2 linked regions of the Elephas maximus indicus genome follow. The protein of the gene in region 2 interacts with the protein of the main gene of each other region in a pairwise test. Links are inferred from orthologs where the notes say so. Each region holds a gene or a part of one and is shown on either strand. Other genes may lie near its edges.

Region 1 (10,691 bases), on a different chromosome or scaffold from region 2:
TGCGAACTGAAAGATTGGTGGTTCGAACCCACCAGATGCTCCATGGGAGAAAGATGTGGCAGTCTGCTTCTGTAAAGATTTACAGCCTTGGAAACCCTATGCGGCAGTTCTCCTCTGTCCTATAGGGTCGCTATGAGGTGGAATAGACTTGATGGCAATGAGTTTGGTTTGGGGTATGTATCATACTAAATTCTTAAAAAATTCAAATAACAAAAAAGACTGCTCAGATACAGCTATTCCGCAGATGAGGAGCACCTTAACACAGGGATCAGACATTGGACTTTCTGGGAACAGTCCTAGTGCAAATTTTCTGTCTGGTTGTCAAGTCATGTGCTTCCGTTTGGAGTTCTCAAACTCTGGTCACCGAACTTATATATAGGCACAGGGACATTCAAATATTTGACCTAAAAAAATAAAGCAAGCCCTATAAAAAGAAATTAACTTTGAAATACAAAAAATAAACACCTGAAAGCAAACTTTAAGCAAAATGATGGCTACAGGAAATAATAGCAATATGTTCTGTACTTCTAATACAACTTCACGGGACAGGGGGATGATCCAAAGAACAAATTGTTCAGTCCAAATTTGAAATCACTTTTTATTAAAGTCACAAAATGAATCAAATTTTACGTGGACCAAAAAATACTGTCCCACCCAAGATTAGGCATCCTCCTCCCTGAACTAGCCCCAGCCACCCCTTTTTGAGTCACTATCATCAAGCTCTAACCAAAGTCGAACAGAAGCTGGATTTGCTAGCATCACAGCTCAGTGGTATTTAAATGCCATGAGTTCACGTCCAAACTTCATTGTGTCGGGACCAAGGAAGAACAGACTGAATCGCCAGTTCCACCAAGAAATTTTATAAAACCACAAAATGGAACTGCAACCAAATCACGTTCCCTTTAAGGTCTTCAGGACCAACCTAAAACTAGTTCACATTCCCAGGGACACTACTAACTACAATAGAAACCAGGCATAAACCTAACGGTGCTCTCAGAAGTGGGCTAGCCCAGGGACATGCAATCCACCCAGCAGCAGTTCATTTCCTCTTAGAGTTCTCACATCGCCTATTATGAGGTGCAGCAAATACAAAGCATCTGAGTAACGACAATGGCCAGCACTTCTCTAGCACTTACTATATGCCAGACAATGTTCTATGCATGCATAACTCTGAGATTTTTGTTGTTTTTAGCTGCCTTCAATAACTCTGAGGTGGACACTTCATTACCCTCACGAGCACAGCAATAAGAAGTAACTTGCCCAGGATCATACAGTAAGTGGCAAAGCTAGGTAGGATTCAAACCCACGCAGAGGTTCCAAAGTCTGTGCTATTACCACTTCCTCGAGTCACTGACTTGGAATTTGGTTATTCCTAAACCGCAAATATCCTAAAGGCGGCTAAGAACCAGCAATCACAAAAGCGCATAACGGATGTCATAAAGCCAACCCTCAGCAACTTTTCACTCATTTTAAACACAACTCTTACAGCATTCCTAGTTCACATTACATTAAAAGTACCAAATCCAGGTGGCACAATGTCCACACCAACAGCCATCAGCAATGCAAGAGCTAACAAAAATAAAAGAAAGCAGTCCATGGAACTAAAAAAAAAACAAAACAGCAATTAATTGCCATTTAGTATTAATGTTTAGATTGACATTGTGTGCCCTCAAGTCCATTCTGACTCAGCACCCTGTATGACAGAATACAACTGCACCACAGGGTTTCCCTAGGCTGTAATCTCTACTGGAGCAGATCACCAGGTCTTTTCACCTGCAGAGCGGCTGGTGGGTTCCAACCGCCACAGAGCACTGCTCCGCCAGGGCTCCCTTAGGGCTTTTGTTATGGGTTCAGCAAATTACAGCCTGCAACCAAATTCAACTTGCCCCAGTAGCTAAGAATGGCTTTTAAATTTTTAAATGGTTGGGGGAAAAAAAAAAAAAAAAAAAAACCGAAGAGGAATATGTGACAGAGACCATATGTAGCCCGTGAAGTCTAAATTATTTACTATCTGGCCCCTTATGGAAAAAGTTTACTTCAGGTAAAAAGCATCATACACATCTTAGATGCTCAAGGAACTCTCCTGATTCAAACATTTATTGAGCACCTACTATGAGTCAAGGCACTATTCTAGGCACTACCCACCCACCTACTGCCGTTGAGTTGATGCCGACTCATGGCAACCCTACAAGGTTGAATAGAGCAGAACTGCCCCATAGAGCTTTCAAGTCTGTAAATCTGTACAATAGCAGACTGCCACATCTTTTTCCTGCATTCTAGGCACTCAGGATATATACGTGAACAACTGCTTACAGTTTAGCTTAATAAAGGGTACTCAAATAAAGGGTACCCAAACTCTGAAAACAGGGAAAGCAACACTCCAAGTGGAAGTGGCTGAGAGGTCCTCTGCAGGCTGGTATCCCTACCAACACAGCTTCATCGTGGCAGAGATGGCTCTCTGGCTCTCCAAGCCCAGGGCCTATTGTTGTTAATGGCTGTCAAGGCACCCCCAACTCATGGTGACCCCATGCACAATGGAATAAAACGCTGCCCAGCCCTCTGCCATCCTGTGATTGGTTGCGGATCAGACCATTGTGATCCACAGAGTTTTCACTGGCTTATTCACAAACCACCACTGGCAGACAGGTAGTGGCTGCATGTGTGGTGCTGCAGTCAGGAGCTGAACTCAGATCTCCGGCACAGAAGACAAGACTATCTTACCACTAAACCACTGATGTCCCCAGCACAAGGTCTAAGCACAATTAAAGATATGTGGCGGGGGGGGGGGGGTGCTCTGAGAGATGGGAGAATATGTGATTAAAGATGAGCCGTATGGTTACATGTGCTTTCCATATTCTTGAAACATGCCTGAAGAACTTTAAGAGCCTTTATTTGCTAAGTACATATTATAAACAGATGACAATAAGAGGAAACAGATGCCTGAAGTATCTGTGCAGGGGATGGCATCCTAATCTTTACGCCTAAACACGTTGAGAGTGACTTCTTTCAGGTAAGTAGTTTTCAATAGGCTGGGGCCCAGGTTCCTTTAGTCCCATGGTCCAGCAGTTACCTTCACTGATATATATCCAAAGTAGGTAACAATCAGTACTGTTAAAAATACACTGCATGAAATGGTATATGAAAATGTTTAAAGTCTTCCATGTTGAAAACACCTGGTGCTACACCAAAGCTTTGAAAATTAACAAAAATATATACATGCAAGTTTCTCTAATCTTTACCCAATCTCCTGAGCCAAGCAGCTAAATCTCTCTAGTCCAAGATTCATAAAATACGTCAATCAAATCAAAAGATTAGCTATAACCATACCACTGAGTCCTTCCTCTCCGCACACATAAAAATCAACCAACTTGAGCTCCAAAACTTTCTGAAATGTATTCTATAAAAAGCATTCCCTTTAACAATTTGTTTAAATTTATACTATAAGTCACCTTGCCTCTTTTGTTTTTCACTGTCTCGTGTGTGTGTATTTAAAAATGTCTTCCACCATGGATCATTCACAAGTATTTAATACGATAACCCTTCGCGCCTACTAAATAAATAACAGCCTCACAGCCACCCTTTCCAAACATGAAACTATTATGAAACAAGATGCCATCTGCCAAAGTTGTCCCAAGGAAGGTTTCACTCACACCCAATGCCTTGATAATTGTATGCGAGACAAGACCAGCTTCTCCACATAACACAAGCAGCATCATTCAATTACGTGGCCATTGAAAAATCAAAGCAAGAACAGGCTAGGCGGACCACACCAACAAAATTATTCCAGTCCACCCCTAATACCTAATAACAAAGCTGGCCTCCTGATGTAGGAAGATGGAAATAGCAAACGAAACTAACCGCAGATATCCCATAACAAAAACTCTTGTGACGACTTACTTCCCTGCATGGGATTTCCGCCTCTACTTCCCTAAGTGTCAGGCCCTACGAATGGGCGAGCTAAGGTTCCTGACCTGGAGAGGCTCAGGAACCTAGCGCGGGAGGAAGCCAGGCACATAACCCCAAAGATCTAATTGTATGGGAGATTCCAATATAGAACTGAGGCGCCCAGAGAAGGAAGTGAATTCTGCCAGGGGTGGGCGTGGGGAAAAGCGGGGGAGTTGGGAAGGGCTGGGGGAAGTTTCCGAGAGGTGACTCGGGCTACAACCAGGGAGCACAGGGGAGAAGGGAATGGAGAAGAGTTTCCCCGAAAAGGCTACACAAAGTGCCGGAGAAAGGTAGACGCTGACCCACTCGGTGCCGCCGCCGCCTCCTTCCGTGTCCCGAGGCGCCCCCTGGCCTTGCCCTCACTCCCTCCCGAATCCCCGGGCGTCCCGGTCCGGCTCCTCGGCGTTTGTAAAGCTCCCCTCCCAGTGCCGAGAAGACGGGCGGCTCGAGCGGCCCGCACCCGGAGAGGCCGGGATGGGGGCGACTCAGAGCCCCACCCAGCCCTCGCAAGGCGGCGACACCGCACCCCTCGCCCGCCACCGCGCCGCAGACAGGTCCCCACCGAACGCGGACACTCACTTTCTCGTGGAAGATGGACTCCATGTTTATTTGTCTGGAGCCAACGGCCCCCGCATCGAACCACCCCCCTCCGGCTCCGCCCCTCCGCCCCACCCTCTGCCTACCCCGCCCCGCCCCACCTCGTCCCGCCCCTGCCCTCGTGCCTTACGAAGACCAATCACCCTCGAGGATGCGAGTCACGTGGAGCGAAGAGCCAGTGAACGCCAGGGCGGTAATCGCAAGGGCACGTGACCTTTGTAGCGTGTCCTCCCAGTTCCTGATACCAAGCCGGCTGAGGGTTGCCGCAGCGCCCCCTGCGGTCTGGAGGCTCTTCTCTTCTTCTCACCCATTACTATGGATTCTTAGGCTTTTCCAGGTCTAGATAAGGACCACTCGGATTCTATGTTCTTTTTTCTTTACACTTTGCTTTGAACTTTCTACTTATCACACCTACGATAATTATTTATTATCTTTTCCCCCCTCCCACTGCAAGCCTCATTGAGAAAAAGGCATCATTGTATCCCCCAATACCTTGCAATGATGTGAAAATGATATTTTTATATATATATATATACATTTTTTTTTTTATGGGTTAGGAAACCCTGGTGGCTTAGTGGTTAAGTGCTACTGCTGCTAACCAAAAGGTCGGCAGTTCAAATCCACCAGGCGCTCCTTGGAAACTCTGTGGGGCAGTTCTGCTCTGTCATATAGGGTCTCTATGAGTCGGAATCGCTCCGATGGCAACAGGTTTTTTTTTTATGGGCTAGATTAAGTGCTAGGGCTATTAACCAAAAGGTCTGCCCTTGGAATCCACCAGGCTCTTCTTGGAAACTCTATGGGCAGTTCTAATCTGTCCTTCGGGGTTGCCATGAGTTGGAATCAGCTCAACGGCAACGGGTTTTTACTATGCTGGTACAGTGGTTAAGAGCTCAGCTGCTAACCAAAAGGTCGGCAGTTCAAATCCACTAGCAGCTCCTTGGCAACCCAACGGAGCAGTTCTGCTCTGTCCTGTAGGGTTTCTGTGTGTCGGAATCTGGTTTAATTTTTTACTATGGGCTAGGCTTTGCATACATTAAAAACCAAACTTATTGCTGTGGAGTCAATTCCAACTCATAGGAATTGACTGTAGAACACAGTAGGACAGAGTAGAACTGCCCCACAGGGTTTCCAAGGAGCCATTGGTGGATTTGAACTCCAACCTTTTGGTTAGCAGCCGAGTCCTTAACCACTGTACCATCAGGGCTCCTTGCATGTATCGGTGACTCTTAACATAGCAACCTCTGATGTAGGCAGGGGCCAATTACCCAATAAGGAAGGTTAGCACGGGATTACTTGTGTTTACTTACTAATCTGTAGTGAACAATTTCACATGGGTTTCACCACATCTTTGTCTCCATATCACCATGTCTTTGTGTGAAATCCTTGTGAAATTGCTCACTATAGATTTGTAAGCAAGCACAAGTATAAGTAAACACAAGTAAGCCCATGCTTACTTTGTTTACTGGGTAATCCATCCCCGTCAGGGATTACAAATCTGAAAAGAGGCTTCAATTCTGTAGGAAGGTGCTCTGGGGTGGAGGGAGGGACAGATGCCAGCCATATGCAGAAGTAGAATCTTTGATGTGGTGGAAAAAAAATAGCTCTTTTCAGATGATCTAGTAAGCAAGGTAAGCATCATGCTTACTTTGCCTTTTGGATAATCCACCCCTGGATTTAGCTATTACTATCATCTCTATTTTACACGCTGGGCGACTGGGCTATTTTACACATAAGGACGGAGATGGAGGCACAGAGATGTTAAGAACAGCACAAGTCCAAGGTCACTAGCAAGTTGCCATGAGAGGGTTCGAATTCAGGCAGCTTGTTCTGGTGTTGGTGCTCTGGTGCTAAAGAGGAAGCCTTGATTGGAAGAACTGAAAAGTCCCATAAAGTATGTGTATGTGGTGGAGGAGATGGGGAGGATGGATAAAGCGGAAGGGGTCAAATAGCAGATCTTGCAACTTGAAGCCAAGTTAAGGAATGTGTACTTTTTAAGGGCAGCTGGGGAGCTACAGCTTTTCAAAGAAGAGGCATGCTCAGATTTGCATTTTACAGAGAACACTCTGGCTGTAGAAGACAGCAGTGCCAAGAAGTCAGCTAACATGAGTTTACAACAGCCCACTAGGTTTTGTTGCTATGCAGACCATTGGTAACTTTCGTGATGCAGGTTCAGGGGGTAGAGGGGACAACAGGAGGTAAGGAAATGGAGACTGCATGTGTTCAAGAGGAAGATCCAGTTACCATTTATTGAACACCTCTGGGCACACAGTTCAGCGTACTGTTTGGGAAAAACAGTCCCTGCTCTTAAACTGTGGCCTAATGGGGAAACAAATCACAGTTCTCATTAAAAAAAAAAAAAACTCACAAGCCACTTTTTCTGTTTTAAAAAAAGTGTGCATCCATGTGAGGAAATATTTATTTTTTCACGTACGTACATGATTAACGTGCTTGGCTGCTAACCGAAAGGCTGGAGGTTTGTGTTCACCTAGAAAAATTCCAAAAGAAAGTCTTGGCAATCTGCTTCTGAAAAACCAGCCGCTGAAAACCCCATGGAGCACAGTTCTACTTTGAAACACATGGAGTCACCTCACCATGAGTTGGAATTGACTCGATGGCAACCAGTTACTGGTTATACATTACACATTACACAAGCCAGAGGTTGAGATGGGAAGAGAACTAGGCAAAAGGGGGACAGAGTGGGAGGCTTTTCATTGTATGCAATTTTATTCTTGATCTTTGAACTATATTATTTATTTCAAAAAAAATTGATGCGATTAATTGCTTAAAACCAAAACACCAAAACCATTGCCATAGAGTCGATTCAACTCATAGTGACCCTGTAGGACACAGAACTGCCCCATTTGGTTTTCAAGGCTGTAATCTTTGGGGAAGCAGACTGCCAATCCTTCTGAGGAGTGGCTGGTGGGTTTGAAAGGTTGACCTTCCAATTAGCAGCCAAGTGCTTAACCACTGCACTGCCAGGGCCCCTATTAATTGCTTATGAGGATGTAAACCCCTAGAGGACCTTACTGTTGAATCCTCAGCACCTAAAACAGTGTTTAGCCAAAAGGCACTAAATATGAATTAATGCTAATCATTTCATTGATGTGTGATTAATAATAAATGTCATAAAGTGAAAAAGGTCAACACCTGGGAGTCAGAATGCAAGTTCTAGTTTTGGCTTTGGCACTTAAGCCACGTATAATTTGGGGATTAGATCCATTGTTTTCCCTATTTCAATTAATGCCTCCACTTCAAATTCAGCATGTCCTAAACTCTATTCCACTTTGAAAGAAAAATCATACCATCCTTCAAAATTCAATGATCACACTTTCCAGGATGACTTTCTTGACTTCTGAATAATTTAGACCTCCAAGTCGGAATCAACTTGACAGCAGTGGGTTGGCCCCTCCTCTGAATTTCTGTACATGCATCTATCATACATAGTACCTTTCATACAGTATCATAAAGTTTGGTTTAATCATACATCTGTCAATATCCTATAAATATCTTGATGGCAGGCCTGTCTTAATTGACTTTGTGTCTCTAGTGTTTGATGTCTGTTGAATAAATTAATGAAGGCAACTATCTGGGAATCATTCTTGATTCTTTACCCCCTCCCTGCAACTGTTCCACATCACCCCTTATTTCAATCAGTCCTCGAATACTGTGTTCTCACCCGTCTCTCCCATTTGTTTTCACTGCTGTTGCTCAGTTCAAGCCCTCTGAGTGCCTTGTGTAGTCTAGTCTAAGGATCTCTAAATTGGCCTTCTGACTCCAGTCTCTATACACCTGAGTCATAGTTCTATCAGTGATCTTTCCAAAAATGCAAATCACACCAGTTTTCCTTTCATTCAACAAATAGTGTTTCTATACACCAGTCACTGGGACTATAAGTACCTGTGGGGTGGGGTGGGGTGGGGGGAATTGACCATTTGATTTAACAGTACCATGGTTTAAAATGAGAAAGAGAAAATTAAATGCTAACTGTAAACTTAACACCAACGTATACAATTAAAAAAAAAGAAAATTTAGGTACCCAGTAATTGTGTTTTTAATGAATGGATTTTAAAATTTGAAAATTATTTTAGCATAAAAAGAATCACACTCCAAATTCTTCAAATAATAAACATGTTTTTATTTTTCTCATAATATTTAAAATATCATTTACATTTTGTAATTCAGCCACAGCTTTTACTTCCAGGTAACTTCTTCATTGGGTTTCAATTCCCTGCGTGGAAAAAAAGAAGGAAAAGAATAAATAAAACTTTTATAAAGAGATAAAAGGGGAAGTTAAAGGAGTGTGAATTCAATGTTATATTCTATTAAGTTGCCCCATTTTTAAAGCTTTACATGAGATTCAACATATTCATCCTATTCCCTCACGATTTTACTCTACCTTCAACTGCATTTTTCCCAATTAAAAAACTATAATTTCTTAGTCTAGCTTTATATGAAAGCTATTATCTTTTCAATGATTCCATTTAATGTTTTCTGCACCCTTTCCAGCTTGTTTTCCCTTTCTTGAAATCCTTGATGTGTGACCCACCTCTACGTATCAACTGTGGCCAACGCTCAAGTCTTTTGCTCCTTGAGCATCCTCCTGCCCAGTGTGCACACCTACTGGCAGATATCCTGTCTAGCTTACTCTAACTCTCTGCTGCCAGAGGAGATGTCTTCAGAGACATAAGGAGGCCAGGCAGCTGACAACTGCTATTCGATCACTCAACCACCATGTCTCTTTAAAGCACTCTTGTGGAGAACATAGCACTTGGCTGTAATCTTTATGGAAGCAGATCGCCAGGTCTTTCTCCTGCATAAATGCGAGATGGGTTTGAACTGCCAACCTTTTGATTAGCAGCTGAGCTCTTAACTGTTGTACCCCTGCGGCTCCTAACGCCACTATCAATACTACAATCTGCTCCTGTAAAGATTATAGTGTAGAAAACCCCACGGGGACAGTTCTGCTCTGTCACACTGGGTCACTATGAGTCAAAAATCAACTTGACAGCACCCAACAACATTTCAGCTACATCCCGGCTTAAGTAAGATAGTACATGATAATATATGTGAAAGCAGTATACAGGGTAGGCTTTACAGAGCTGTTTCAAATTTTGTTTCTATGGTAAAATATACTTTGAATTCCAAAAAATGGGACTTTCAAAGATTTGAAACCACCTGCTCATAAACTGAAGACTGTATTCCAGAGGTAATCATACAGTTTTATTCAAGAATTAGATGACAAACAAGACTAAAAGGCAGTATCACTTCAATGTTAAGTACTCAAGGGGGAAAATTATCCCTTGTTTATTTTTGGCATATATGATATCAAGAAGAACACTCCCAAAATTTGGTCAACTGTTTCTTTCAAAAATGCAGGCACTAACCTTTTAAATAACATACTCTTGTTCCGGAAGGCGGTTAGTCTCTCATCATTCCGTCTGTCCAGATAATATCCGAAGACAAATCCCATAGGGACAAGTGTATGAACCCAGTGCTCACGCACCATCTGAATTAAATTCACCATGATTACTAAAAAAGAAAAAAATTAATAAAAGATTACCAAAAATACCCTGCATTTCAAATATCTTTTAAACCTCATCTGAAAAAGAAAGGTAACCCTGGAAGTAGATGTTAAAAGCGTGTTGTTGTTGTTGTTAGGTGCCGTCGAACCGGTTCTGACTCATAGCGACCCTATGCACAACAGAACGAAACACTGCCCAGTCCTGCACCATCCTTACAATCATTGTTATGCTTGAGCTCACTGTTGCAGCCACTGTCAATCCACCTCGTCGAGGGTCTTCCTCTTTTCCACTAACCCTATACTCTGCCAAGCATGATGTCCTTCTCCAGGGACCCAACCCTCCTGACAACATGTCTAAAGTATGTAACACGCAGTTTTGCCATCCTTGCCTCTTAGAAGCATTCTGGTTGTATTTCTTCCAAGACAGATTCGTTCCTTCTTTTGGCAGTCCGTGGTATATTCAATTTTCTTCACCAACACAATTCAAAATCGTCAACTCTTCTTCAGTCTCCCTTACTCGTTGTCCACCTTTCACATGCATATGATGTGATTGAAAATACCATGGCGTGGGTCAGGCACACCTTAATCTTCAGGGTGACATCTTTCCTCTTCAACACTTTGAAGA
Region 2 (10,947 bases):
AGGGCGGCTGGTGAAGGCAAATCAAGTCAGCTGGGGGTAAGCCCACACCACATGCCAGACCCTGTTCTAGGTGTGTGACGGGCATTCCTTCATGTATCCTCACTTGTCCTCTGCAAGTATGTGTTGTCACCCCAGTTAGCGGTGAGGGCTCAGAGAGGCCAAGGGACCTGCCCAAAGTTACTCTGCCGGTGAGAGGAGCTAGATCTGCCTCCCACCAAACCTGGGCTCATCCCATCCCCCACCTTCAGCCACCCCGACTCGCACCGTCCCCAAAGCCGTGTCTGCTCAGGTCCAGGAGGAGGCCCTGCCGAGGCAACCCCCGCTTGCCCTCAGCTAGGCCAACCCACTCCCCCTCCAGGATTCAGACAATCCTGGGCAACTGATAGAGCTAAACAGGCTCCTCCCCTGAAAATGGGAATGATCCCAGGGGTCAGCCTAAGCCCACTGTTGCACCTTCTTCCCGGAACAGACTTTAAGCATCTTTGGAGCAAAAGCCACCACAGGCCACAAGGGGTTCCCCTTTCAGCTCCCAGAGAGCCCCATGCCTGCCCTCACACCAGCTTTTGCCCTTACTGAGCCCTCTGCTGGGCACTCCTTTTTCATTTTTCTTCACCTAAGCCCCTCACCCTGCATGTCTCAGCTTAGCCACCACCTCTGGGGAGCTCCCCTGATCTCAGGTCCAGGTTAGTGCCTCTTTAGGCGGCCCCAGCCCTCCTGAGCTCCCCACAGAGATCTCCAAATAATAACTGGCTCTTCCACCTGGCCATGCGCTCCCAATCCCCAGCCCAAAGCCCGGGACAGAGGACTCGGAGATACTTCTAGAATGTGTGTGCACTGCATCCTAGCATTGCTTGGGCCTGACCCCTATTGTGCCACTTCCTCCCCAGGCTACAGAATCCACAGCTCCCACAGGCTCTGGGTCCCAGGCAAAGGATACAGGCCAGGCCGGCAAGGAGGCCACAGAGGAGCTGCAGAAAGGGCGGCTCAGAGCTGAGCAGCGGGGTCAGGCTCAGAAGCAACCAGGGCAGCAGCCACGGTGGCAGTGTCCCTCGGGGCCGTCCGGGGCGTCGACCCTCCCTCGCCAGCATGGCCAGGTGGACGGGCATGTATCCACAGCCACCAGCCACACTGGGCACCCCAAGGGCCCCTAGCAGCACGGCCAGCAGCCCAGCAGCCAGGGCAAGCAGGGCCGAAGCATGCAGGAACCGCAGGGTGCCCAGGTGGCGCTCCTGCTGCCAGCCCAGCGTGGCCAGGAGCAGCAGGCTTAGGAGCAGGCCTGGCAGGGCAGTGTGGCCCAGGGCGTAGGTCAGCAGCCGGTGCGCTGGGAGAGAGAAGGGGCTTAGGCGCTGGGCTAACAGCCCCAACCTCCAAGGCTGCCCCAGCTGTGCCAGGTTGTGGGTTACCCTCCACCAGGGCCACCCGCTGAGCCAACCTCCCTTCCAGGAGCCAGAGTCTGCCCACGGCCATCAGTTAATGAGGAGAGGACCAAGGACCGATATGGCCACGCTCCTGCTGTATACAACAGGGCAACCATTGCTGAGTCCTGATTACGCCCCAGGCACCGTGAAGGTGCTTTGCATACACGTTTACTGAATCCATCATGTGGGCTCTGATAAAACTGTCTGCTTCAATCCTGGACCCTCCCCCCTCCCCAGCTGTGTGACCTTGGACAAGTCACTTTACCTCTCTGAGCATCATTTGGTTTCCTCAAATGTAAATTGTAGCTGTTGTTATTATTGGAAAACATGCTCAGCTGAAGACCTAACATTTCACTGTGAAAGGGAAGCCATCAGAAAAGAGCTCCCACCCACAATCTTCCAGCCCACCCTGCTGGCCCTCTGTCCTCCCTTCTTGCTGGGGGATGAGCTGGGCATGCTCCCATCCAAGGATGGCCTTCTCCAGGGCACTGGGTCCCCTCCCAACTAGGTCCCTCTCACCTGCAGTGCTGACTTCCCCTCTCTCTGGAGTGTTCCGGTCACCTCCCAAACACCCTGCAGGCCTCCCCTTCTCCAGCCACTGCCCATCTCTCTGCTCCCCTTTAGAGCAAAACCGCTAAAGAACCGCCTCCCCTCTCTGCTTCCACCACCTCTCCTGGCCTCCCTTGTCCCTGTTCTCCGAAGTCACCCTTGTCAGGGTCACCAATGACTGCCACCAATGCCAGGAGCCATCTGGATCTCTACCCTCACCCCTTGGCCACCCCATCCATTCTAGGCTTCGAATGCCACAGATACATTGACGCCTTCTGAATTTCTGCCTCCGACCCAGACATCCAACTCACACCCAAAAGCCAGTTCGCTCTCTGCCTCAGGGGTGTCTAATCGGCCTGTCACACTTCACATGTCCAGAACCAAACTCTCTATTCTCCAGAAAACCTGCTCCCTCCAGGCTCCTTCCAGTTGCTCAGGCCCCAACATTCAAACCAGCTTCCAAGCCCGTCAGCTCTGTCCTCGAAATGTACCTGAAAAGTCACCCTGTCCCATGGCCATCCCTGCCTCGCAGTCCAGGCCATCATCTCGTACCAGGATCTTTGCTGTGACCTCCTCACCGGGCTCCTGGCTTCCACCCCTAACCCCCTTCAGTCTATTCCCCAGCCAGGGGGTAGGGCAGTGAGGGGCTATCAAAACCCAAGTCGGATCATGTCACTGCTCTGCTCACAGCCCTCCAAGGCCCCCACCGCACTCAAAGCCAAAGTCCTCAAGACCCTACATCCCCCCAGTCACTCTACTCCCACTATTCTGGCCTCCTTGCAGCCCCACAAGGACACCAACATTCTCTGACCGCAGGGCCTTTACTCTGCTGTCCCCCCGCCTAGAATGCTCTTCCTGGGATCTCTGTATGGCCAGCAGGCGCCCTCAGTCTCTGCAGGGCTCTGCCCCATGTCACCCTCTCACAAAGACCCTCCAGAACCACCCTATCACTCTCTACCCCCTACTCTGGTCACCTGCTTCTCAGCGCGTATCACAAAGACCCTCCAGAACCACCCTATCACTCTCTACCCCCCACTCTGGTCACCTGCTTCTCAGCGCGTATCAGTACCTGACCTACTAGGCAGTCACTTTTTCATGGGTCTCCCCTTCCAGATCGACAGCACCGTGAGAGCAAGGCCTTTGTTTTGTTCGTTGTTGCATCCCCTTCACTGAGAACCATGTGTAATATGTAGTAGGTACTTGATGAATATTTATTGAATGAATGAATGGATGGATAGGTGCTTATCAAATTGTTTTGTGTAATACAGTCACTCGGGAATCTGCTTGAGCAACTCCATCCAACTGTGTTCAATAAAAGAGTAACTGCTAATATGACCCCTAGTTTGCAGGTGACGAAACAGGCCCAGAGAAGGCAAGTGACTGGTCTCGGCCCCACTGCAAGTCTCCTGCCTCCTCCAAGCCCCACGTGGCCCTCACCCTGCCAGGGTTCCAGCAGCAGTTCCGGGACCAGGGTGAGGCTGGGGCCGGCCCCGACCAGCCACAGGCCACTCATCAGCAGCATCAAAGTGGAAGAGGTGAGAGGCAGGGCCGGGGACAGTGGGCCAGGGGGGCCCCTGGCATGCATGTTGAGAGTGGTCAAGAGTGGTCCTGGGGCTGTGTGCTGAGGGTAAAGGAGAATAATAGCAATGGTTACTGTCACAGCCTTTATTTCATTGACTCCCTCTCACCCACCCTGCCAACAACAGCCCCATTTTACAGAAGTGGAAACTGAGGCTGAAGAGGCAAGCCAAGCAGCTTAGCCATGGCAGAGCTTGGACCCTAACCCATGTGCTTAGCCATTCTACCATCCTGCCTGTCCATGTGTAAGGATGGCAGGGGCCAGGCCCAAAGGGCCCTGAGCCCTGATGGCCCCGAAAAAGGGTCTGGGGGTGGGAGGCATAGGCCTAGGGAAGTTGAATTGGGGCCCTGGGCTCCCAGAAAGAGGGGTGCAGTGCCCCAGAGCAAATTCAGAACCATCTCCAGCCCTCCTCTGGCCTCCCTTCCCTCAGGCCAGCTCCCTAGTTGGCCAGCTCCCTTCCTCCCTTCCACTGTGCCCAGCCTTTGAGCTCCAGGCCATCTGGCCCAGCCAGGCTGACCTAGGATGCCCTTGACAGAGGCAGGAGTTGCAAGGAAGAGTCTGCAAAATGGGCCAGCCAATAGACAAACGGATTGGGGAGGGGGTGGGGCAGGGGGCTGGAGGAGGGGCAACAGGAGTCACCTTCCCATTCACACATACAAAGTGCCAGTGGTCAGAGCCACCCACTCTCTTCTTACCTGGGCCCTATCACCACCCCTCTTGTCCAACCCCCGCGCCCCCCCCCCCCCCCGGAGATTTCCTGCTCTGCCTCTTCCTGCTGCATGTCCCTGGGCAAGCTTCCCAACCTCTGAGCCTCTCCTTCCTCATCTGTAAAATGGGGATTAAGAAAACCTTTTCCTCACAAGATGATAAGAAGGTATGGGCTAAGGCAGGGCCTGGTCTGCAGCTCCTACTCAATAAACCATGGCCATCCCCGCTAATTGTGGAAGGCAGATATAGACACCAACAGACTCCCTGTTCTGGCCTGGCTGGTCTTAGCCCTGGCCCTCAACCATGTCCATTCCCTGCCTCCACAAGGCAAGACTTTCTCTCCCCTGTTCTCCCCTCTGCTACCCAGCTTGTCATACAGGCTGGGCCTCCAGTCTCCCATAGGGCAGGAAGTAGGACCCCAGAGAGACAAGAAGGCTGCCTCATCTGCTCCCTTGCCGAGGGCAACCTTAGCATCAAAACCCACTTGCCAGTTTCCAGTAGGAAAAATGTAGAAAGCTCCCCTGCCTGCAGTGTCCTTCCCTCCATCCTCCAACAGGCAAACTCCTATTTACCCTTTGAAACCCAGCTCAAATGTCTCCTTTGGCCCTTCCTCTTACCAACAGATTTTATCCTTTATTACAAGCTCAGCTTAGCCTGTCTGTCTTCTAAGGCAGGTGGTTTGAGCTCATGGAAGGGCTTCTCTTACTCATCCCCAAGCTTCCCAGGGTGTTCCTAGCACACAGCAGGTGCATAGTGTGCTTGCTGAAAGACACTAGCTTGGCTCTGGTTCCACCGAGGGATTTGGGGTGAGCCCAGCCCCCCACTGTGCTGAGCCATTGCTGAGGTCCCTTCTAGGAAGGCCTGCAGGTACCAGCTTTGCCACGAGGCTGGGTCTGCAGCCAAAGGTCCACTGCAAGCCTCTTCCTGCACCCTCACAACTACTCCCTCCCAAGGCACTGTAGGGAGCGTGAAGGACCTGCCTACCCAAGGACACCCAGAACTAGGACTTGAACCCTCTGGGCCTCAGTTTCTTCATCTACAAAATGGGGTGGTGCACCATCAGGCCCTGTGTACCTTACTGGGAAACTAGAAAGATAGAATGGGAAGACAAAGGCAGGGGAGCTTCTTCCCGGGTGGTGAAAAGTTGGGGGGATCTCTGGGTCTGGGTCGGACTCAGCTTTGTGACTTTGGGCAAAGTACCCAACCTCCTTGGACCTCAGTTTCCCCTGCTGTAAAAACCAGGTTATTGGATAACAGGTGATTAATGAGCCTTCTCAACCTCGACCGTTATGGGGCAGGGGGAGGGGGTTCTCGGAGCCGGGCGCAGCGTTCGGGACCTCCCACCCTACTGACCGGCCTCGGCCCCCTCCCCCGCCGCGGGGCCACGTGTCTGAGGTACTCACTGCGAGTGCGGCCCCCCCACCCCCGGGAGGCCGAGCGCGACCCCAGTTGGCAGTCGGGCCTTTAACCCCCCACCGAGGCCCAGACTCCCGAGCCTAATCCGCACACACGCGGGCGCGTGACCCCGACCGGCCGCTGCGCTGCCCCTTCCCCGCTGCCTGCCGATTAGTCAGCAGTTGTTCTAGGCCCCGGTCCCTTCCCCCAGCCCTCCCGCCGGCCTCCGTTTCCTCCAGGGTAGACTCTTCAGAGACGGTCCCTAGAGCCAGCGGACGTAACCATTACTAACAGCCTGGCTTCTTGAGAATCTTTCGGTTTGACACTGAGACCCACTCACCGGCCGCTCTAGCCCCTTCGGTGCTATTTTGTCCGCGCGTCTTCGCAGCCAGCACCCTTTAGAGAGGATTGGGACAAGAGTTGCGGGCGCAAACGACGAGAAAGTGATGGTTCATCCCTCCTTATCCCACCCCCGTGGCCTGGCCCGATGGTAGCGCCCGAGGTTGCGGACCTCGCGCCTGCGCAGTGCGGGGCCTAGGGGGAAAGCGAGAGGGAGACGGACGTTGAGAGAACGAGGAGGAAGGAGAGAAAATGGCGTCCACGGGTGAGTGTGGTGGAACCGCGGTCGCGGTGGCGACGGTTGGGACGCCCAAACGGGGGACCGCTCATCTCTGGGGGCAACCGGGGCGACCGAGTGGAGCTGTGGAGAGGGGTTTGAGGTACTCTTCACGGCCGGATGGGCTCGGGTGCCCGCGCTCCGCTCCTCTCCCCTCCCCCCACCGGGCAGGCCGGTTCTGGAACCTTCCGGCGCTCCTGGCGCGTGGGGAGCTCGCGGCGGCGCGCGGCTGCGGGGGCGCGCGAGACCCGCCGAGGCCTCCATTGTGTGGCGGTAGTCGGGCCCCGCGCGCCGGGCCGCCCGCCACGTGGGCGGGGCCTGCGGCCTCCTGGCTCCGCGTGGGGGAGGGGGGCTTGGCCGGGCCTAGAGCGGGGAGCCCCGAAACCCGGGCCGCGGGGGTGACTGCCCCGGCCCTCTGCCACTGTGACTGATTCCCGCTTCTCTTCCCGGGAGGCGGCCCGAGCCTGAGGGGCGATTCTTCTCCTCGGAGAGGCCCGGGGAAAAAAAGCAAACAGACAAAAAAGGCTTCCCGGATTTGCGAGCCGAGGGGCGCCGGCCTCTCGTTTGGCCTATGGGCTGGAGCCCCGTCATCCTCGATCTCCGGGCGGCTGGAGGCGTCCAGCGCCGCCGACCAGCTCCTCCGCGGGCTGCAGGCCGAACTTCGGCCGCACTGGGCTGTGGACGGAATGCCCCTCAGCCCCATTCAGAGCCTCCAAGCCTCTGCTCCCTCCCTTCTTCATTTTCATCGTTTTTTTGTAACTTCCCCACCTCTCCTCCCTAAAAGCGGTAAGTCGCTTCCCTGGGCCCTTTTTCAGCCAACGCCGAGGGAGAACCGTTGTATAATAAGGCCTGCCTGGATCACGAGGCCAGAGATCTTCCTATGAGAAATTTCTGGCCTCTTTGACCTAAAAGGAACAAAAGACCCGAGCCGGCATTTGAATTCTCCTTAAGCAGTCATAGGGGCGACAGGCGTGTTTCAGTCGTGGGCTGATAGAGGAGAGGGAAGGTAGACGCACCGAGGCCTTTGAAAGCAAGCCCAGCGTGGGAACTCCAGGATGTGGTGAATGAGGTGGTCTCTGCTGCACGGAGTATTTCCCAGAGAGTGTCGTCTTCAGATCACCTGCAGTTGGCAGCCTCTTCGTGCACTCACCGGCGGTTGGTTGGTGGCACGGGCCAGCACTTTTGCGTCTGGGGGGATTCTCAGGCGGCCTGCCTTCTAGAGGCAGTGGGAGGAGATGAGAGGGAAAGACAGGAAAAGCTGTGGGTCTTCTCGCGTTTAAGTTTGAGGAGAGTCCGGGATCCAGCAACTTAAGGATGTGTTTCTGGCGCTGCCCCACTTTGTGATTAGTAACCAGGTGACTAGTGTTGCTGTAGGTGCCCCCAGAGGAGGACTCCGAAATGCCATAGTACAGATAGCCTTTCCACCCTCCCTCCCCTTCCTTGCAGTTTGAATTTTGTAAGGGCAACAACGGCTTTAGCCTTAGGAGCCAGCGTGGCTGGATATGTTACTTCTTCAGTTTTGCTCAAATCCTGTTGTTATTCACGTTGTACTGTATTAGAATTACAGTAATGGTTTATGCAGATACATGCAATATTAGACTGAGCTTTATTCACGTTGTACTGTATTAGAATTACGGTAGTGGTTTATGCAGGTACATAAAATATTAGACTGGGCTGGGGGGGTCTTGGGGGAGTCATGTAATTTACCTCAACCTTGGTTTCCTTTCCTGCAAAATGAGGGTGTTAGGCTAGATCTTTAAAGGGCTTTTTGAGCCCTTAACTGCTGACCTTACAGCAAAGCGTATTGCCTACCACAGAGTTGCCTTATATTGACTATAACTTATTATGTAGTCTGAATATTTGAATCTCTCCAGTTTGGATAATAACTCCCTAAAGTATTGTTTAGCTACTGTCTTGAGTAATCTTAGATGTTCCCCCATGTATATGGTATATAGAAAAGTACCCAAACATATGTCCAGTTTAACGAAGAATTAAACACAAACTCCCAGATCAAGAAATAGAACATTGCCAGCACTCTAACTCCCTGGATCACAGTCGCTTTCCCCTTCCCAGCCGGTCCTGTATTTTTAGTGAAGTCTTCAGCTGCACATTTGGGGATTAAAAACAAAATACACCTGCTTGCTAAAGAATCTGACCAGGGTGTAAGTGTAGCAAGCATATTTGAGGTCATACAGTTCTGTGTGTGGTAGATGAAACAGTAGTTCTCATGAAGCATGCTAGCTGCCTCACTAGTATGGGGCTAAATCCTCTAGTTTCACACTGATCTGAGATCATTTGTTCCCTATCAGCTTTGCCAGTTTTATGTTTTACATAACTGCTGTTGTGTAAAAGGTCTCTTACAAACGTTGAATTTACGTATCAGCGATTTAAAATAATTTCTAACGTAGAAAAATTAGCAAAATGTGAAGTGAAATATTTTAGATGCTTCGTTGGTGATATGTTTATTTTGTGAATGCCACGTGGAAGTTGTTCACATTTACTTTTTCATGTCCCATAAAGAGTGTGATTTGTGCTATTGCAAATGCCTTAAGGTTGTCTTAACAAAGCAATGTATTATCGATAGCCTTTGGGCATTTGATTTGATTTTGATGATTTAGGGTTCAGAGTTAAGGGCATACAGAAAGTGGCTAAGTGAAGCATGGAGAGATAGAAAGATAAGCCAACTTAAAGAGATGGGTTTAGCAAAATGTTGACAGGGCTGTGAGGTCAGCTTTGGATAGAGTAGGGTAGAACCACTCGGTGAAGAACTGAAATATAAACTATTGTTTTTGGATGAGGGACTACTTTCTGATTAGAAAAGGACCTTTTTGTTCAGTTCTAATGGCAGTACTATCTTCAAACACAGAATAAAACAGTAGAGAGGAAAGATGAAAGAATTGGGCAGAATTTTTAAAAAATAACAGCTCTTTTTTTAAAATAAACTGAGCTTATATAAGTTTATTTCAGTAGTACTCTGAAAACTTCTCAACCATTTTATTTTCTGTTTCCACTGGTAGACACCTCGTTGGACCAGAGTTTAGTCCCTCTTTGACACATGTTCTAAATTTCATATGAAATGGGAAATTGTGGAAAGGTTTACTTAGAGAAGGGAAGAAAATTTGTGGCATTTTTTTTTTTGAAAAATTAAAGTCACTTGGAGTATTTAAAAATAAGGTGGTTTTACCTAAAACCAAATTATTCAAAAAAGATTAAATGCTTCCCCTCTTCGCCAGTTTCCAGGATTCTGCCTTAAATCTGTGTCACTGGGGTTTATAATATACCTAGCTTTTGAGTTATTGCACAAATGTAGCCCCAACACAGTCCGCAAACCCTTGAAAACACTGGGTTGTGATGCCTGTCCTCTTGTCCTTTGCCATTTCACTTCACAGTCGTTGGCCTGCTAGGGACTTAGCGTTAGACTGACTTGATAAAGTGAAGGAGTGATAGAAAAGCTCGTTTTTGAGGAGATAGGTATAGCTACGAATAGAACTAGTCTGACATCAAACACTGAAATATTGTCGCATCCTTCTTTTTTATATGAAGGTAAATTGACGCTTTTGACCCTGTTAGTGAGTCTTGTTCTCTGTGAGTCTTCGGATGGTCATGTATTTGAAATGACAGCCTGTGGTTGAGGGACATTGTGGTCACGGAACATGCAAAGTGTCTTTGCCAGATCTCCTGATCTTGACCTCGCTAGCTGGCACCAGACTTAAGTTTTCTGAGTTTAACTGGCCCAGACTTACTTTTGGTTTGGTGTCAAGAGATTAGAGGCACATCTGTGAAGCAGTCTTCCTACCGTCTGAATTCCTTTCCCTTTTTTCTCTTCTCATTTTCATGTATTTTCTCTCCTTGTTTTCTCTAGATTACAGTACCTACAGCCAAGCTGCAGCCCAGCAGGGGTAAGTAAGTCTTATGACAGTATTTTGTCTGTGGTTGGTTATTGTTTTTAGAGTGTAGAGCCTCCTATAGATGTAGAGGATGTAGTGATGGAATATGGATGTTATATATTTAGTTCTTGCATTTAATTTCTTTTACAGCTACAGTGCTTACACCGCCCAGCCCACTCAAGGATATGCACAGACCACCCAGGTATGCTTTAAGATAATTATATGTAGCTGCGACTCTAAGTAAAATTTTTTATCGATTATTAAAATAGCACGGATTATTTTCAAAAGTTAGGTAATAGAGAAGTGAAATAGTAATGTGCTTATAATCATAAAATATCTAGGAATTTAAACTTTCACAGCGGGAGTGCAAGGGATTTCATTCTGCCATCATAGGTGAAACCTGTGGTACCCTGCTGCATGCTTGGTGCTTCTGCATATTTTATTATGTTTAAATTAATTTAATTTAATCATCCCAACAGTGCTACAGGTTTAAGATGATATTATGACTATGTTGCAGGTAAGAAAATTGCAGTACATAAAGATTATGTAATTTGCTGGTGGCTGCACAGTAAGTGGCAGGGTCAACTTTAAAAGCCATGGCTGTGTGGCTGCAGAGCTCCTGAGCTCTTTCCAGTACACAAGTCTGTTTAAAAGCCTGGGCCAGCAGGTTCTAGAGTTAGCCTCCCAGTGTTCTCAACATCACGTCGAATTCTGAAATGGCCTGTGGCATTAGGTGGATACTAGTAACTCTGCCGTGGGGACCTAGGACAGCCAGAATGTGTTATCTCTGGCAGA

Evidence for each region.
Region 1: the proteins of EWSR1 (region 2) and ATXN3 interact in binary tests that used the Homo sapiens proteins (3 or more experiments, as listed by UniProt). The link is inferred for Elephas maximus indicus from reciprocal best matches to the Homo sapiens genes EWSR1 and ATXN3.

Annotation. Positions count from the first base shown.
Region 1 is NC_064828.1:105,674,052-105,684,742, forward strand, and holds the start of ATXN3 (ataxin-3), read right to left. Parts: upstream 4,602-10,691; 5' UTR 4,549-4,601; coding exon 4,525-4,548; intron 1-4,524. Other genes in the region: NDUFB1 (NADH dehydrogenase [ubiquinone] 1 beta subcomplex subunit 1), read right to left, coding at 8,737-8,773, 9,930-10,069. UniProt on the Homo sapiens protein: Deubiquitinating enzyme involved in protein homeostasis maintenance, transcription, cytoskeleton regulation, myogenesis and degradation of misfolded chaperone substrates.
Region 2 is NC_064840.1:27,300,698-27,311,644, reverse strand, and holds the start of EWSR1 (RNA-binding protein EWS), read left to right. Parts: upstream 1-6,192; 5' UTR 6,193-6,240; coding exon 6,241-6,253; intron 6,254-10,127; coding exon 10,128-10,164; intron 10,165-10,302; coding exon 10,303-10,354; intron 10,355-10,947. Other genes in the region: RHBDD3 (rhomboid domain-containing protein 3), read right to left, coding at 938-1,321, 3,405-3,552. UniProt on the Homo sapiens protein: Binds to ssRNA containing the consensus sequence 5'-AGGUAA-3'. Might normally function as a transcriptional repressor. EWS-fusion-proteins (EFPS) may play a role in the tumorigenic process.